2 linked regions of the Canis lupus familiaris genome follow. The protein of the gene in region 2 interacts with the protein of the main gene of each other region in a biochemical or structural test. Links are inferred from orthologs where the notes say so. Each region holds a gene or a part of one and is shown on either strand. Other genes may lie near its edges.

Region 1 (5,828 bases), on a different chromosome or scaffold from region 2:
CCATGTGGAGAGTTCTTCTGGGGGATGCATTAACTGGAGACTTACAAGGTGGTAGAGACAGATTGGAATAGATGGTGAGGCAAGCCCTCAAGCAGGTTTTGTGTACCAGGTTTAAGTATGGATTAAATGGAAGCAGTGAGGGCCTGGAACATAGCAATGTTCCAGGATGATCCACTTGGCAAGCAGTACTTGGGGGAAGTTGGGGGGCAGCAGACAGGTGGCAGGACACAGTTCAAAGAAGCCACAGGAGTCCAGAAGGGACTTGAGAACTTAGCTGAGTGATGCTCATGGGAATTAGGAAAGGATGTTTCTGCTGTGGACAGGGAAAAAGCCACCAGATCTAATGACTCCTGGGTTTGCAAGTTTAAGGAATGTTATTTATAAACTCGTGACTTGAAAGTTATGTAGATTAGAGGTAATAAAGCATTGTGGTTGACATCATGAAGGTAAAAGTTCTCCTTTATAGGATTTCAGAGTTCATACTTGAAAGCATGTAGGACAGTACCAAACACACAATAGGGACTCGATAAATATGGAGTCATTAAGCAACTAGTAACCATAGGGTGCCCAGCAGAGCCATAGAAAAGCTCTTGTCGTGGTCGAAGAGCAGCATCTGCTGGTCATCCAAGGCAATGCAGGATCCCAGATTTACAAAGACCTGGCCCAGTCTACCTTCCAAAAACCATATAGGGATGATCAGTGAGGGTCCTCCCCCAAAGTATAGTATAAACAAGCAAGATGAAACAGGAGTCATCACTGTTAACAAGAATGTTCTTTATTTGTACAAAGCATTATAATTTTCCTCAACATTCTTCATTTATTTGTCAACAAACTCTTGACTATATTCATTAAACAAATTAACAGTGTCAAACTACATACATTTGACTATCTGTCAACCTCCAAGCGCTCAACTTAGAGACAAACAAAAAAGTGCTTGGAGCACCAAATATCAAGAGAAAAAAACAACAACAACAAAAAAACAACTCTGAGAAAGGTCGACAGAATTACTTTAGAAGCAGTTAAAGGGGATGGATTTTTTTGCAGTAGGGATTAGATTCCTGAGCACCATCAGATTTCTGCACTTTGGGACATTAAGCAGGTTATCAAAGATCCTGGGTTGGGAGATGTGACAAAAGGAGGAAGAAAGTGGGAATGGGGAACAGAGGAGAGGCAGAAGGGAGACAGGGAAGGGAGACGCAAGAGGGAGAAAGTTGTGCCTAAAAGAAATAAAGTTTGGAATTCGTCATGAATTAAAGAATGAAAAACAAAAGTCACAAGCCTGGGAAATGGACTATGAGAAGAAAAAGCCTGGGGTTTTATACCTTCCAGGAGGTGACCATAAATCCTAAAGCCATAGAGTGGCAGGCAATGAGGTGCATCTGAGACTAAACCGTCTGGTTTTTTTTGGAGGGGGGGGTAAGATATTGGCACACGTGCTTGACGAGTTCCACTTTACACTAATGATTTAGAAGCATATGCACCCAGAGGACAGCACCCCAGCAGGTCAAATGCCTACCAGGCAACATAGAGGAGCTCCACGCCAAGTGGGTCTGGAGAAATAAAAATTCAATCAATGTTAACGCCAAGTGAAAAGACAACAGATTTCATTTCCCCCCCATAACCTTTTAGTAGTTTCCTAAAGCTAAACCATCCCAACCACTTATAACAAGCTAGTACTGCCAAATCCTATACAATCAAAACAGACCAACCATGCTCAAAAGCCCCAATTTTTCCTGAGCTTTGACTGCCTCTGTGACCTGGAACACAGCAGGCAGCATGGAAATCATTATTACTTTTTTTTTTTGGGGGTGGTGGTGGTGGTGGTGATGGATGGGGACCAAAAAACTGCCAGACCACATATATAAGTAATAAGAGATCAAATCGACTAATTAAATTTAGCCGCTCAGAATCCCTCTCGTCAAAAAGTCATTACCTTCAGAACTGACTTAGCAAAATGGGACTCTGCTATTCAGATGCTCTGACGGAAGCGCTGGTTTTGGTCATTTTAGTCAGTTTTTATTTTGATCTTCTCAGGCTCTTCTGGCGAGGCCCACTCTCCCCAGCAGGGAAAGAGCCTCTCAGGACCGCACCACGTTTCAGGGCGGTACCTGCCAAGGTGCCAACGTCTTCCCGTCCCACTAGTTGTCTACTTCCTCCTCTTCGTTCTGTTCTTCTTCTTCCAGCCTTTCTTCGTCTTCATCGTTGTCCTCATCTCTGCCCTTGTCTTGCTCCTCTGCATCGGTTTTTTTGTCTTTGTCCTTCTTCTTCTGCTCGGAAGCTTCCTTCTTGCCTTTCTGCTCTCTCCTGTACGCTGTGAGGAGGAAGGCGGTTAGCAGGCAGGGCTGGACCAAACCCACCGCAAGCAGCCAACTCCGCTGCACAACCGGAGAAGCTGGGGCCGGGAAGGAACAGTGAATCTGCTCGGCATCACAAATCAGATCAGATTCGGCGCCCATCGAACGGATTCCGAGTCGCAACCAGATACTCGGTTCCTGTTCCTACGCAGACCCCAGCTGCGAAGGCTCAGCGCGGCCAGGTGAGCCGGTCACACGGGACGGACATCTCCTCGGCCGCACAGAGCAGAGGGACGTTACCTTCCAGAGCTTCTTTCAGGGGGGTGACGAACCGCTGGAACTCCATCTCCTCCATGGCTGAGAGCACGTCACTGGCGTTCAACGTCTTGCGTTTTCCCTTCATCGCGAAGTTGTTGGCACTGAAACAAAAGGGAGATTCGGGCGTGAAACGGGGCAGGGCAAAGCCTAGGTCAGGGATGCTCGGATGCGTCCCTCCCCTTCCCTGCACAAAAGGGTCGTTTTATTTTGCTTCAGACCTCGCGAGCCCTGGACGAGGGCGCGACCTCCGCCGCACCGCGGGAGGGCCCACCTGTTGGGGGTTCGCGACTCCAGGGTGCGGAGTGGGGACCGGACGGGGGGGGGGGGGGGTCTGTGCGGCTCCCTCCCTCCCTCCCTCCCGCCCCAGCCCCAGCCCCAGAGGAGCTCTCGCCGGCTCCGCCCGGCCCGGCTCACCAGGAAGTGGCGTACAGCACGAAGACGCTAGCGGCGCGGGAGATGGCGCTGCGGGCCTCCTTGGAGATGTTGACACCGTCCGGGAGCTGCGAGAAGAGCGCGGGTGAGTAACGCTGCGGCCCGGGACCCGGGACCCGGACCCCGGACCCGCTCCCCCGCTGCCGGCTCGTCCGCCCCGCGCCCACCCGCCAGCCGGGGCTGCCCACCGCTTCCTTGATGATCCTGGTGATGACAGCATTGGGCAGGTTTAGGTCCTCGGGCCTCTCCGCCATGGCCGCCGGCGCCGCGGCCCGCCTCCGCCTCGAGCCTCTCCTCCAGGCCGCTCCGGCGTCCGGACTTCCCGCGTCGCCGCGCGCTGACCCAAGGAGGCTTCCGTCCCGCCCCCCGGGGCCCACGCTGCGTCCCACAGTGCCCCGCGCGCCATTGCCTCCCTCAGCACCCGGCCCCGCCCCCGCCTCGAGTCGCCCGAGCGTCCGAACTCTGCACGCCGCTACGGCGTTGGCCTTCCCGGGTTCTCGTCCGGCCTCCCCCCGGGGACCCAGCGGCCCCTTCCCAGGCTCGTGCCCCTGCTGCTGGCCGCCGCCACGTCTAGAGACTCCTCCTTCAGCTCAAGTATGGCTCACCGGAGCTTCCGTCCCTTCCCCACAGTGCTCTGCGCCGTTGCCTGGCAACGGCGGGCGTGGGCGACGGAGGCGTGGGCGGGGCTCCTTCCGACGCGGGGCGGGGCCTCGCCGCGTCTCGGCGTCGGCGCGGGCGTCGGGCTTTGCGGCCGGATTCGGCTTCCCGGCCGCCCGAGGCCCGCTGTCCCGCTCTGCGGTACCGGAGCGAAGCGGGTATCTTTAAAAAAAAAAAAAAAATTTTTTTTTTTTTTTTTTTTTTTTTCAGTTCTGCGGGACCTGATGTCCGTCTTGGAGCTCTTCACCCCTCCCAGCTTTGCCATAAGCGCAGTACGGAGAACCGTCGCCTGGAAGTGCTGCACGCAAACTCCTTTGCGGGCGCAGCGCTAAGGCTGGGGACGTAGACGCGGGCGGGGCTCGCCTCGGGCCTGGGTTCGGGCCGCCCAGGAGGAGAGCGCGGCCTTGCGTTCACTCAGAGCCAAACCCTCAGCCTTCTGTGTGTCTTTTACTTCGTTGACTTGTGCATAATACGTCTTTCCCAGTCGCAAGCATCATTAGCATGGTGTTGCACTGGCTTTTAGGTTGCATCATTGCATAGAAATTATTCTCATTCTCCCTGAGCTCGAATGCTTTTTTTTTCCCCCGTAAAATGTGCTGTCTTATGTCACCCTTAATTTACCTTTTTTTTTTAAAAATATATTTTTAAATTTATTCATGAGAAACAGAGAGAGAGAGAGACAGGCAGAGACACATGCCGAGGGAGAAGCAGGCTCCCTGCAGGGAGCACGATGCAGGACTCGATCCAGGGTCTCCAGAATCACGCCCTGGGCCCAAGGCAGGCTAAACCGCTGAGCCACCTGGGCTGTCTTTAATTTACTTATTTTTGAGTAATTTCTTTCTTTCTTTCTTCCTTTCTTTCTTTCTTTCTTTCTTTCTTTCTTTCTTTCTTTCTTTCTTTCTTTCTTCTTTCCTTTTCTTCTTTCTTTTCTTTTCTTTTTTTTTTTTTTTAAGATTTTACTTGTTTATTCATGAGAGACACAGAGAGGCAGAGACATAAAGGGAGAAACAGGCTCCCTGTAAGAGGCTGGTGCTGTGGGACTCCATCCCAGGCCCCGGGGGATCACCATCTGAGCCAAAGGCTGATGCTCAACCACTGAGCCCCCTCAGGCATCCCTATTTTGAGTAATTTCTACCGGGAACGTCAGGCTGGAGCTCATGACCACAGAGTCATGATCAAGAGTCACATGCTCTACCTCCTGAGCCAACTGGGTGGGCATCCCAGTTTTCCAGCTTTTGACAGAGACATAAGTACAGAGAAATACTTCCCTATTAGGAGAAAAACACCAGCAAACGTGATGATAAAGAGCAACTGGAACTGGATTAGTTAGAGATTATAGGGTTTGGTGGGGGAAACTCCATTTGGATGTAACAGGTCTGGTTTAAAGATACCAGGAGGCTCTCAGCTCCAATTGCTGTATAGTTGGAACTGTGAGCCGTGATGTCATATATTTTGATCTTTAAGAGGAACCAGAAATCTGAACACCGTGGACTATCTCCACTTAAAAAAAAAAAAAAGATTCAAAGTGCAGGCCAAGCAAAACAAGTCATAGGGCAGCTGTGATGCCATGCCAATGCTGCGCTCTCTTTGGTCTAATTTATAAGCTCTTGAGAACAAGGACTTATTTTGTTCATTACTGTTCTCTATGCCTGTTACAGGTCCCATCACATATATGGTAGTCAGTAAATGTGTTGGATAAAAGGAAGAAGAAATGGATACTGTCCGTAAAAAGTTATTAGGAACAAAAAAGTTATTAGGGATCAGGTGGTAGTGATCGCCTAAAATATTTCTAGAGAGAGAAAGATGATACTGTTTGTTGATCCTATATTATATATCATACGTAAAAATATATTATTTCTCTTAATGCTTTAGGGATTTTTCTTCCCCTCTTTATATGAGGAAACAAGCTGAGAGAGTTGAAGTCACTTGCCTACGACCATACAGCCAGTAAATGGAAAGCCAGAGGCCTCTGATGTGACTGTGAGTCTGCTGATTTGGTGCTTGAGCAAACCCATTGGTTTCTGCTGGGTATTTTTTTTTTAAGATTTTATTTATTTATTCATGAGAATAGACAGAGAGGAGAGAGAGAGAGGCAGAGACACAGGCAGAGGGAGAAGCAGGCTCCAT
Region 2 (5,251 bases):
GATCCCACAGATGGTCAATAATAAGAACCTCCAGAAAATCTAGGAAAAAAACATTTGTCAATACAACTTGGTAATTTTTTTTTACAATTCTAAGACTCACCTTGTTGAATGACTATTGAATCCAGTCTGAGTTTCATCTCAGCACGTTCCACTATTCTTTCTTCCACAGTGTTATCAGTTATGAAGCGGAACACTCTGACTGTCTTGGTTTGTCCAATTCTATGTGCTCGGTCCTAGGCAAATTACCATGTTATTTTGAATAGTTAAAAATTACACAAATAATACTTGATTGTGTATACCAAAACGGAAAACTAAAATATTCTCAGGTGTGAAAGTTTTTAATGTAACAAAACTATTCTAAAAATAGATTTTTATTAGATTAATATTTCTCAGATCCTTGCAGCTTCTCTGTTTCAATCAAATTAATTGATTATTTCACAAGGAAAACTTCTAGGTTATACTGATATAGAAGTCACAGGTTTCTAAGAGTGCCTCGGTGGCTCAATCCGCTGAGCATCCAACTCTTGATTTTGGCTCAGGTCATGATGCCAGGTTTGTGAGATCAAGCCCCAAGTCAGCCTCCACACTTGGCATGGAGTTGGCTTGTCCCTCCCTCTTCCTCTGCTCCTCCCCCTACTCTCTCTCAAATAAATAAAATCTTAAAAGTAAATAAATAATAAATAAAATTCACACATCTCCAGATAAGACAGATAAAATTATAAATTTTAAGGTGGATGATAAAAAATTGTTTAAATCTTTTTTTCTTAGTTTTAAATTCAAATTGTTTTCCCACCTAAATCATACATCAAACTTCATTGCTATTAGGGAAAGAAGTAACATGAAAAAAGAACTCCACAAACAATATAAAAATCCTAGTTTTCAAATAACTACATACAAGTAGTCAAATTAATTTGAATTCCGTTTAACTTCTATTAAGTTCACAAAACACATTCTTACAAAACATCCCTATGTCTAATTGATCAATTTTCCTCAGCTACTCTTATAAGCAACCAACACCTGTGTTATGGTCACAAATACCATGTGTCAAGTATCAAACTTAAGAATTTATAAGTTTCCATATTAATCCGCAGATCATACATTTTCTCAATCTAAGAATGATCCTCCTGTTCTAGCCAAAGAACTTCTACACATGGGCATAAATTTTAAGCATCTAACATGGTAGATCTATAGCTCACCAAACTGGTTTCCCTTTCCTCCCAAGGCACAACTATACTATCATTTACCAATTCCCTTGCACCCAGTTACACTGATTGAGTGCTGGCAATGAATGTGGGGACACTTTAGGATCTGAACCATAAAAAAATTTCTTAGGCAATCCTCAACTCTCTCTATCCCCCCCACTTGGGGCATCAGGATACACTGGACATAGCTATACTCCAAGATATGGCAAAGCTGTAAGAGATATCTTGCTTTAGATGAAAGATTACCTATAAAACACCCTCCCTGAATGATTAAGTCAGAGAAAAAATTCTACTGGGTTGTCACTGAAATTTGCAGACCATTAGTATGCTCTAACGAAATTAAGCTTTAAGAAAATATTAAGAATATATTTAACTATTATCTCTTACCATAGCCTGGAGATCTACTTGGGGATTCCAATCTGAATCATACAAAATTACCACATCAGCAGTAGCAAGATTAATGCCAAGACCACCGGCACGTGTACTTAACATGAAAACAAACTTTGTGCTGTTTGGTTCATTGTATGCATTGATGGACTCCTATAGGTATAAAAAGAAACAAATGTCAGGCAATTATTTTATCTGTTAAATTTTTTTATCTTCCCTCCCTGGATCTTACTCACTTGTCTCTCATCATGGGGTGTTTGCCCATCCAATCTACAGTATTCATAATTTCTCCACATGCAGTAATCCTCCAAAATGTCCAATACCCTTGTCATCTGACTGAAGATTAGTACTCGTGAACCTGTTAACAAATAGAACAGCCCATTTTCAGAAGCTTCAAAAGTTAAAAAAAAGTATTTAAAAATTTAAGGCTAACCAAAACTAAGACTAACCAGTTCCCCTTAACTCTAAGTTACCTAGTTGGTTATAAGAAAAAATATATATACAGTCTGCTTCTCCTTCTGCCTGTGTCTCTGCCTCTCTCTCATGAATAAATAAAAATGAAATCTTAAAAAAAAAAAAAGAAAAAAATATATGCATTATTTATCTAAGTCAGTCATTCTCCACATTTTTCCCTCCGTGGCACAAATGGAAAGGGTAATGTAATATCTGTACAACACACTAAGATCAATGGAAAAGGGTATACTGTCCTGACCTGGGTCTGTCCCAAGGCTGAGAGAATAATCCTTTTTATTCCACATGGATTTAAAAATAACCTTCCACCACCACTTCCACCACAATTCTCCCATGTGCATGACCCTGAACGTCCCCTAACACACACCCAAAACCCATCTCCTTCTAGTTCTGAAGACCTAATTCCAGACTTGGTAATAATGGAAGGACCATAATGTAAGGGTGGCCTCACATCTAAATGGTCATCTTTTACCTATGCCATGATTTTAGTTATTAAACTGCCTCCATTTCTTCAGCCAACTAAGCAATGCCTTCACAGTAGAATATAGAAGACCAAGAAGTCATCATAAAAAAGTAAGGATTATGAAATTATCTTGTCTTATAAACTGAAGCTGATAATCTGCTGGTATCTCACCTTCTTATACCTGGAAAACCTAAGGATGCTCAATAGTCTCCATTCTCCTTCCAGAGTTTAATACAGCTTTCTTTAATATTGGAGTATTTCTACCAAGTTCTTGCTATTCCTTTCCAAGTCAATCCTTTACTATTTAGTTTTCAAAGAAAGCATTTTATACAACGTATTTCCACAAAAAGGCACAGAAGCAAAAAAGAAAAAAGTAAACCAATTCACTGACAACTCTTAGAAGGTTTTTAATTTTTAGTATCCTAGAGAGGTGACAGGTACAAAGTCATTCTTTTTTTTTTTTTAAGATTTTATTTTATTTATTCATAGAAACAGAGAGAGAGAGAGGCAGAGACACAGGCAGAGGGAGAAGCAGGCATCATACAGAGAGCCTAACGTGGGACTCAATCTCAGGTCTCCAGGATCACACCCTGGGCTGCAGGCGGCGCTAAACCACTGCACCACCGGGGCTGCCCTACAAAGTCATTCTTAACAAAACACATTGGAAAAACACAAATGGAAAAATCTGAAATCTGACTATATTATTTCAATATCACAGAATTAATAATTTGTGAATGAAATGCTTTGATGTCTGGGACTTACTTCAAAATAATCCAGAAGAGGAAAAGAAGTGTGGTATAGATATAAACAAGTTTTGCCATGAATTTATAATGACTGAAGCTGGCATCATAATCATTTCATTCTATACTCATGTATTTTAACTATAACTCTATATATACTACAGACGTACTCATTTTCACACAAAAAAGTCACCATGTTATAAACAAATCTGCTTTGGGTCCATGCACATATTTAGTAATTACCGTTAACCTTATTTTTTAAATTTAATTATTTAAATAATTAAAAATTCCACATAAATAATAAAAAACAAATACCGTGAACACAACACTGTTTACCAAAGGATCTGGGAACTATGTGTGGAAAGAGTATTCTTGGCACTTTAAAAAAAAAGCTTATAAATCTGGGAAAGCATATATATATATATGCTTTATATATATAAAGTGAGAACTCTCCCCCAAAATCTAGGAGTGTAACTGCCCTAACTACTGATCGCTAAAAAGATGTATAAGCCTAAAATTGAGGACAGAAATGAAGTTTGGGTAATGAGAATAGAAGTTTCTCGATGCCCTCCCATACTTCAACTTGCCAGATCAGTAATTTTAAATTGTATTGATCCTTTATTTTACATTAAAATGTAAAACAGTTTTCATCACTTCTAAATTTGATATCAGTAACGTACTTACCTTGTTCTTTTAATTTAGGGAGCAGCTTGTCTAACACCACCATCTTGCCACTGTTGGTCACTAAATGCATATCAGTTGTATAAGGTGGACCAGGTTCAGCTCCATCAAAGAGATATGGATGATTACAGCATTTCCTCAACTGCATCAGGATGTTCAATAACCTCATTTTGTCCATCTTCCCTGCAGAGTTTAATATATCTATATCCTTCATTAATATCCGAGTATACCTATCGAGAAGAAAAATGTTTTAAAAGGGCTCAAATGTGCCCGGTTACTTTCCCTGTTACTTTCACATTTAATTACCTCCCTTACCTTAACTCAAAATACCTTAACTCAAAAATACCTATAAAGAACCCATCAACTTCTAAGAAGTGGTTAGGAATTACCATGCATTATAACATCTTTCTTTTTCCCTGTTTTTCTTTATTCCCCCACTGTTCTAATGTTTACACTTACACTTTGGACCTTGAGGTCCAAAATAGTATGCTTCCCTGGGATGAATTAAAACAAAGCAGTAGAACATGTTTTTAAATAATTAAGCAAAACTTAAAACCTAAGTCACATATTTTTTTAATTTTTTATTTTTAAGTAATCACTAAACTTAACATTGGGCTTAACTTACAACCTCAAGATCAAGAGTCCCAAGCTGTACTAAGCCAGCCAGGCACCCCAAGGAAGTTTTAAACATAATTTTAATTTGTAGTCTTTTCCAATGGAGTGCCAATAGTATTTAATTATTATTCAATGTAACTAGTGTAGAATTTGGGTGAGAACATGAAGATCTAATGAGGGAGGAGGAATCATGATAGGGTAAGGCATGAGGATGAGAATAAAATGAATACAATGTGATTTAAATACAAATAAAAGTAAATTGGTGGGGGGATATGAAGGCAGTAAAGCTACAGTCATAGACTAAGGATGGATTATAAAAAGCTTTGAATGCACATCAAGGATGTAAACATTCTGCAGGAAAGACCAATCTATGTAAATACAAAAATTTCATGACCTTGAATCCTCTGAACAGAGTAACTTCAATAACCTAAGCAATCCAAGCATAACAACTCCAGTTATGAAGCATAAAGTATTATTCAAGGCAACCCTTTCTATACAATTCTGATATGAAGTTTACTAATATTTAACTAAAAAATATTTCTCTTAACACTGATTCATGTCATAGTTTTGTTATTTAGAGCCATACAAGACAAGCCTAATAATAGCTTTGCTACCTTATAAAGTCTTTGAAAAGTCTACAGTGGTCATCTCTTCCTCAGATGATGTGCCCATTTCTTTACATTCTATTCTTT

Evidence for each region.
Region 1: the proteins of SMARCA5 (region 2) and POLE3 form a complex in vitro, tested with the Homo sapiens proteins (2 studies listed by BioGRID). The link is inferred for Canis lupus familiaris from reciprocal best matches to the Homo sapiens genes SMARCA5 and POLE3.

What each region holds. Positions count from the first base shown.
Region 1 is NC_049232.1:68,167,146-68,172,973, forward strand, and holds POLE3 (DNA polymerase epsilon subunit 3), read right to left. Parts: upstream 3,401-5,828; 5' UTR 3,299-3,400; coding exon 3,233-3,298; intron 3,130-3,232; exon of another isoform or gene 3,113-3,129; coding exon 3,027-3,112; exon of another isoform or gene 3,023-3,026; intron 2,714-3,022; coding exon 2,595-2,713; intron 2,312-2,594; coding exon 2,139-2,311; 3' UTR 754-2,138; downstream 1-753. UniProt on the Homo sapiens protein: Accessory component of the DNA polymerase epsilon complex. Participates in DNA repair and in chromosomal DNA replication.
Region 2 is NC_049236.1:43,046,487-43,051,737, reverse strand, and holds part of SMARCA5 (SWI/SNF-related matrix-associated actin-dependent regulator of chromatin subfamily A member 5), read right to left. Parts: intron 4,175-5,251; coding exon 3,948-4,174; intron 1,948-3,947; coding exon 1,826-1,947; intron 1,743-1,825; coding exon 1,590-1,742; intron 234-1,589; coding exon 101-233; intron 1-100. UniProt on the Homo sapiens protein: ATPase that possesses intrinsic ATP-dependent nucleosome-remodeling activity.